Linked DNA regions of Sus scrofa. The protein of the gene in region 1 interacts with the protein of each later gene in a pairwise test. Links are inferred from orthologs where the notes say so. Each region holds a gene or a part of one and is shown on either strand. Other genes may lie near its edges. The genes, in order: SPDEF and NKX3-1.

The links.
Region 2: the proteins of SPDEF (region 1) and NKX3-1 interact in a two-hybrid assay, tested with the Homo sapiens proteins (2 studies listed by BioGRID). The link is inferred for Sus scrofa from reciprocal best matches to the Homo sapiens genes SPDEF and NKX3-1.

Annotation. Positions count from the first base shown.
Region 1 is NC_010449.5:30,515,349-30,518,541, reverse strand, and holds the end of SPDEF (SAM pointed domain-containing Ets transcription factor), read left to right. Parts: coding exon 1-27; intron 28-1,984; coding exon 1,985-2,163; 3' UTR 2,164-2,617; downstream 2,618-3,193. UniProt on the Homo sapiens protein: May function as an androgen-independent transactivator of the prostate-specific antigen (PSA) promoter. Binds to 5'-GGAT-3' DNA sequences. May play a role in the regulation of the prostate gland and/or prostate cancer development.
Region 2 is NC_010456.5:7,784,010-7,788,381, reverse strand, and holds the start of NKX3-1 (homeobox protein Nkx-3.1), read left to right. Parts: upstream 1-1,345; 5' UTR 1,346-1,425; coding exon 1,426-1,750; intron 1,751-2,979; coding exon 2,980-3,398; 3' UTR 3,399-4,372.

The DNA.
Region 1 (3,193 bases):
TCATCAGGTGGCTCAACAAGGAGAAAGGTGAGCGGGGCCAGGGGCAGCGGGGGGAGGAGGCTGGGGGGCCAAGGGCCTGCCAGGTGCTGGGCACAGGAGGGTTGGGGGCTGGCTGGGGGAGGGGGGCAGCCCCCGCCTTTGCCCTGAATGCCACATACATACCTCATGGACCAGCCCAGGGTCTGTGTGCCACCTGCCTCCACTTCCATCCCCTGGCCAGGCTCTGCCTGTTGAGGGTCCCCAGCGGCACCCAGTGCTTGGGGGGACATAGCAGAGGCTTAAAACTCTGAGAACCAGACACAGTCTCTACCCTCAAAACTTTAGAGCTCCGCTGCCGAGACCAGTGGTGTCCAGTGAGAAACACAGCGCAAGACCCATAGGCCATATTAGCTTTTCGACAGCCACAATTTAAAAAAAAATTAGTAGGTGAATTTAATTTTAATAATACTTCTATTTAATATTATAAATTCTTATGATTTGAACATATAATCAACATAAAAATTGTTAATGAGATATTTTACTAAATCTTCAAAATCTAGTATAGAGTCTACACTTATAGCGCATCTCAATTAGGACGGGCCAGGAGTTCCCTGGTGGCACACTGGATTAAGGACCTGGCATTGTCACTACTGTGGCTCCGGTCACTGCTACGGCTAGGGTTTAATCCCTGGCCCTGGGGAACTTCTGCATGCCACCATCGCAGCCAAAAGCAAAAATTAGGACTGGCCCCATTTCAAGGGCTCAAGAGCCACCTGTGTCCAGCTGTTAGCCCCGTGGAAGGCACAGGCTGAATGGAGTGTGGATGTATGCTTTGGAAAAGGCTCAGAGCCAAGAAACCTGGGTTCTAGGCCCCATCCTGCCATTAGCAGCTGTGGGTGCCTGGGGCCCAGGCTTCCTAGTTGTGAAATGGACTAGATTTATTCATCTAACAAACCTTTGCTGAGCACCTCCTCTGGTCCCACACTTGCTCAGTGGACCCTTACAGGGAGTTAGAGCATCCGCAGGGTGCGGGGAGGACTGAGCACGCACAGTCTTGTAGGAGAACCAGCAGTGAAATGAGCTGGTGTGCAAAGCGCGTCAGGGCTATGCTCCGGGCCCAGGAGGAGTGACTCTGGGCTGATCGCAGAGCAGGAGAAGGGGGTGGCAGGGGTGAAGAAATTCCTGCACAAGGTCCGATGAGTCTGGGTGTACGTTTGAGACCAAGAGCAAGCTGATTTGCTAGGGAAATGGAGGGAAGGGAGATGGGGAGGCCTGGGTGGTCTGGGAGACCTGCCTGGAGTGGGAGAGTCGACCCGGGCTTTGCCAGGTAGTTTAGAATGAGAACTGGGGGTATTAATGAGGAATCATTTATCCTAAAGGGTACATACACCCTTCGGGCTCTGCTCTAAGCACTTTCTGTAACCACTCAACCACGTGGTAGTCCCTGCAGCCTCCCGACAGGAAAAAGGGGTCTCAGACAGCTTCTAAAGGTAGAAAATGGCAGAGTCAGGCAGGATTCCAACCCAGGCGGGCCTGGCTCCAAATCCACTCTCTTTCCACCGTCTCCTACAAACTAATCCTGCCAGAAAGCTCTGTGAGGGCTGACGGGTCTGAGACTAGCAGAGAGCTCTTTCAGGAAGTGCCAGGGTGAAGGTGGGGGCGGGGATGGCCTTGCCACAGGAGCTGTGTCTGCAGCCCGGAGCCCCTCAGGGCTTCTGTGTAGTATGTGCAAACCCCATGCTTAGGAGTAGAGGCTGGCGAGGGCCCCAAGTAATGCACCAATGTAGGCAGGCTCCCCCTGCACCTAGGGATTTGTGGGTCTATAGCTGGATTTGCCCACGTTTCTGGGAACCCTCACAAGTGGGGAGAAGGTCTGGTGGCCGCCAGGTGATGCTGGCCCCCTGGCTCTCCGAGAGATGGAGCTGCTGGTCTTGGTCTTCCTCCCACCTGCTGCCCGCCTTGCACCGCTGGCTCTCACTGGCCCCCTGCCTACCCACCCTCCCAGGCATCTTCAAAATTGAGGACTCGGCGCAGGTGGCCCGGCTGTGGGGCATCCGCAAGAACCGTCCTGCCATGAACTACGACAAGCTGAGCCGCTCCATCCGCCAGTATTATAGGAAAGGCATCATCCGGAAGCCGGACATCTCCCAGCGCCTGGTCTACCAGTTTGTGCAGCCCATCTGAGGCTGCCGTCGGGCCCGGGCCCACACTCGCCCTTGCCAGGGCCCCCTCCTGCCTGCCCTGCCTTGGCCAGACCCTGAGCTGGGGGACAGGGCAATTCACTGGCATCTGGAGTTCAGAGTCAGAGTGGGATGGTCCCCTGCACCCAGGGGGGCAAGTGAGCTTTCTGGGGCCTGAGGGACCCCAGGTGTGGGTGCTCCTGTGCAGTCCCCTGGAAGACAGAGGGGACCAGGGCTGTCCTCGGTGTTCATGGTTCCCCAAGGAAGACCCTCCCTCCACCCCAGTCTCTGACCCAGAATTTCCAGAGCAGAGCCAACAGAATGGCGGTGACTTAGCCAAGTGCTCTTGGCCACCCATTCTGCCCCGTGCCTGGCATGGTGCTGGCGGACGTCTGCACCCCTGAGTTGGAAAGCCAGGGGCACTCTGGGAACGGATAATAAAGATACTAGAGAACTGACGTGGCCCTGGTGTCCTGCAGTGAGCAAGTGGCACAGCCTGGAGGCCGTCACTGCTCAAAGTCATTGTGGTCACAGGGGCCTGGGGTGGTCCAGGGAGGCTTCCTGGGGGAGGTGGTGTTGCGCTGAGCCTAAAAGGAAAGGGCTGGGTGGATGGTAGAAGCTATGAGAGAGAGGTGGCGAGGCCTCAAGGCCAACGAGGGGCTGGAATGGCCCTCACCCCCCCGACCCGTGTGGACTGAAAGGGTGGGGGAGGGGCTGGGGCTGCAGATGGTCAGTGGTAGGACTGAGCGATGGTGGCCTCTTTCCCACCTCATTCCCTGCTGTAGGGGGTGCTGACCCTCCCGAGAGGGGGCCCAGAGCCCTTGTCCCGCTTGGCCGACCAAGGGGGCCCTGGGAGGGGGCAGCAGAGGGTTTCAGCCCTCCTTGTGGGGCACTGGCTCTTGCAGCAAACAGAGTGGAAACTTGGCTTCCTTGGCTTCCAGCTTGGCTTTGCTGGCACTTTCTCTTGCAAGAAGCCACAGGCCTCATCAGTGCCCCCTGCTGGTAGGCTTGGTCCTACCGCTGAGTCCTGAGAG
Region 2 (4,372 bases), on another chromosome or scaffold:
GGGTACACAAATACAAAGAGATAGCACAGAGAGTTCTTTTGTGGTGATGGAACAATTCTGTATCTTGATTGTGGCTTTATAAGGATCTATTCATGTGATAAAATTGCATAGGGCTACACACACATACACCTGAATGCAAGCTTTTAAATGGTGAAAATAAAATAAGGTCTGTAGCCTAGTTAATGGTGCATATTAATGCCAATTTCCAGGGTTTTACATTATACCAAAGTTATATATAATATGTCATCACTGGGGGAAGCTAAGGGTATGGATTTTGCAGCTTCCTGGGAATTTATAACTATTTCAAAAGAAAAAGTTAGAATTTTTTACAAAAAAAAAATGAGAGAAGAAAACCATTTTTGGTGAAAAATTTCCCATTGCACAGGGTGGTTCTCTTTAGCTGTTGCTTTATCCACAGTAACTTTACTCCCACCCCAAACGCACAACATACCAACTTTTTGAAAGGTTTCCAATCAAATGAAAGGTGTCTTAGACTAGGATGTACAGAGAAATAAAAATAGTTCAAAAGAACACTGGTATACTCTTTTTTAAATTCACCAATTAATATTTTAACCCCTTCACTTCATCATATAGGATCTATCTGCCCATCTATATCTTTGTTTCTGAACCAACTGAGGGCAAGTTACACAAATTGTGGGACTTTGCCCTTACATACTTTAGCGTTTATTTCCTAAGAATATTCTTTTACGCAGTCACAGTGTTGTTAGCAACTTCAATAATGTTAGCACTGATTCAATACTTTGTCATCGTCCTATTCCACTTTCATCAATTGCCCCAATAAAGTCCAGTATAGAAGGCAACCTGGGGCCAGATGCTGCACTTAGCTGTCATGTCTTTTCAAAAGCCTTAGATTTAGTAGGTTCAGCTTTGCTATCAATGTCTCCCTGTCACTGGGCACCCAGAATTCTTATCTGTGAAGTGGGATGGTGTTAACTGCCTCAACTATTTCTTTTCGTGAGTAAAGGGACTTTAACAGTCCTCTAAGAGCTAAATGGAGTGTTTCTCTGCTGCATCATGATTCTCCAGAAACAGCGAAACTTATTTTGTGGGTTGGGGCAAGAGGAGACTCGCTTTGGTTTTCTCTTCCAGCCTGAGAAAACGACGTAGCGGGGAGGGAGGCGAGATCGGATTCAGGAGAAGAACGAAAGTGGAAAGGAATCTCTCTGGAAGACCAGGCCGAGACAGTGCTAGACTCCCCTTTTCCCCTCACCTGGAGGGCCCAGCGACCAATCAGCGGCGGGGTTCGGGAGTACGGCCAATGGGAAGGCGGCGCGGCGCCCCCCCCCCCCCCCGGGTTATAAGTGCACCCGGGCCGCGGAAAGTGAAAGTGGTGCGGCCGCAGCCGGCGCAGCCTGGGCGCAGATGCCCGGGCCTCTGCTCAGGCGCGGGTGCTGAGCCGCCAGGATGCTCCGGGCTCCCGAGCTACGGCCGGGGGAGGGGGGGACGGCAGGCTGCAGCCCCCGCGCCGCACCACCCATCCAGTCCAAGCCGCTTACCTCCTTCCTCATCCAGGACATCCTACGGGACCGCACGGAGCAGTGCGGAGGCCAAGCGGGCAGCCCGCAGCCGCAGCCACCGCCGCAGCCCCGGCGCCAGCCAGACCAGAGGCGAGACCCTGAGCCGGAGCCCAAGGGAGGAAGAGGCAGCGCCGGGGCGCCTGAGGACCATAGGAGCGCCCGGCCCCGCGCCGCGCGGAGGGAGGCCGAGCCGCCGGCAGAGACCGAGCCAGGTAAGCTAGCGAGGTTGGGGAGGCCGGTCTGGGCCGGGGTGGGTCCCACAGGAAGGGCAGCCGGCCCGCGGGCTACACCGCATGAGAGCGTGTGCTAGGCGGACCTCCTGGATCTCTGCTGCAGAGATGCGGGAGCCGGTGGCGACAGGCAAAGAGACCTCACCGCCTCCGCTGCGGGCGCGCCTGGGAAATTAATCCTGAACCCCAGCGTCTGGGCGGCGCAGGATTTAGACATGGGCTTGACTCGCCGGGCAAGGTGCTCCCTGCGCCGCTAGGAGACCCAGGCTCAAGGGTGAGCGCACAACACAGCGCCCACCGTGCCCCAGGGTCCCAGGTGGAAAACCCCCACACCGCTCCCAGCCACCGCGGGACCCACAATCGACGCTAGCCTCATGTTACCTCTTGGCAGTTACAATAACAAGTTACTGACAGTAACTTATTAATATTAATAAACTAGGATTTGACCTGCAAAGACTCCCTTTGCTTCCCAGTCCCATGGGCAATAAAACAGTAAATTTAGGAGCCCCTCTGGTCTTGAGGACATGTAACACCGTCGGAACATTTGCAGTAGACTTTCTTTTCTTTCTTTCTTTCTTTTTTTTTTTTTTTTTTGGGTAGTTAAAATTGGTACATAACATTATATTAGTTTCAGGTGCGCAACATAATATTTGATATTTATATACACTACAAAGTGATCACCACAATAAGTCTATGTATCATTACCATTCAATTGACTGCCTTCTTACAAGGCATCCTAATGGCTCATTTAAGAAGTGGGGGGGGGGGTTTAGAGCAAGTGAATGAACTCTCTACCACGGAAGCCCTCTCTTGCCACCAGGGCATTAACACCAGATGCCTCTGGGGCCTGCTTTTCCAGGTATCTTATTTCTCAGAGCCTGCCCTGCCTCCCTTCTCCCTCCTCTCCTCAACACATGGATCCAGAATCCCTATTTAATTCTACTGGACAATGTGGCAGGAAGTTCTACCACTAACCTCTCCTACCTTGGGGTCTTGATGACTCCTGGAAAATGAATACATGGTCTAAGTTGACACTCATGCCCCACTCATAGAGTTCCTGAGTCCTGTGAAAAAAGTGCAATGTATCCAAACTGACAGTGGGCTGTTTGTTCACTCACCAGAAGAGATAAGGGTGGATTGAATTCTATTCTCTTCCCTGCTAACATGTAACGTTTTCCTTCCCATCCCTGCCTCTCCGCTCTCCTTTCCAGATAGGCACCTTGAGACTTATCTGCTGGACTGTGAAAACACTCCAGGCGCCTTGCCGAGCCTGCCCCCAACCCCCAAGCAGCCGCAGAAGCGCTCCCGGGCCGCCTTCTCCCACACTCAGGTCATAGAGTTAGAGAGGAAGTTCAGCCACCAGAAGTATCTGTCGGCCCCCGAAAGGGCTCATCTGGCCAAGAACCTCAAGCTCACGGAGACCCAAGTGAAAATATGGTTCCAAAATAGACGCTATAAAACCAAGCGGAAGCAGCTCACCTCGGACCTGGGGGACCTGGAGAAGCACCCCTCCTTGCCGGCTCTGAAGGAGGAAGGCTTCTCTCGGGCCTCCCTCATCGCCATGCATCACACCTACCCTTACTACCCCTACCTTTACTGCTTGGGAGGCTGGAGCCCAGCTTTCTGGTAACAACGCCGGCTCAGACAACCATGTGTGATCAAAAGCTGCCTTCCCCTGGTGGTCCCTCTGGAAGGCAGAAGGGCCCGGGGTCAGGGAGGACTGGGCCGCAAGAGACCTGCAGACTGAAAGCACTGGAGGTTTGCTTGGAAATCCCAGATTCTTCACTGGTGTGCCAATGAAAGACCTGGGACAGGAAATAACTTAAGAGCCAAATAGGTCCCCCCCCCCACGGGAATGTAGGTCATTTTTGCTTTGAGAGACCCGCTTGAAGTGGGGCGGGATACAGTCAAGTGCTGTTTCCAGCATCACTTGTGGAGGCTGCCCACATCACCTGTGAGAATTCTCCGCCTCCAGCTCCATCCTCTTTTGTGACTGAGCATCCGCTCCTCCTGAAGGGGGTGTGGGGGAGGGGAGGAGAGCTAAGATGAGATGTCACCTCCAGAATTAAACTGAAGGTCAGACGCCTCTCATTGGCCTTGGAGTATGACCACGGGTTGCTCTCCATCCCTGGGGGAGAGCAGGAAGCACAGGGTCCCACAGAGAAGCCTGTGGTGCTCAGGGCAGGTTGGCACAGGATACAGAGATGGGTAGGAGGAGATGAAAATATAAGCTTCTTATTCTTCCTTTTAAAATAATAGGCCAACTGAAGTATTTACAGGGTGGCCCAAGCAGAACAAGAAGAACTCACTGTGGTTTTAAGACAAGCTGTCTAAACAGAAACTTTCCCTCAAGAGGTGGGCTGGGGCCGGAAGAATCTCCCCGTGTCCAAGACAGTGGCTTAAGGAGAAGTCCCCACGCATGCTGCTGCGGGGGGCTCGCATGTCTTTATTAGCAAAAGGACCTTTTTGCCCTGGGCCTGAGAATTTAGAATGAGAAGGTTCCTGGAGTTTTCAGGCTGTAATTCATACAACACCATGACAGGTAACATAATTTTTCAAGCCCCTTTTTTGCCCTCCTATTTTTTTGTTCCTTTTCCACAGCAG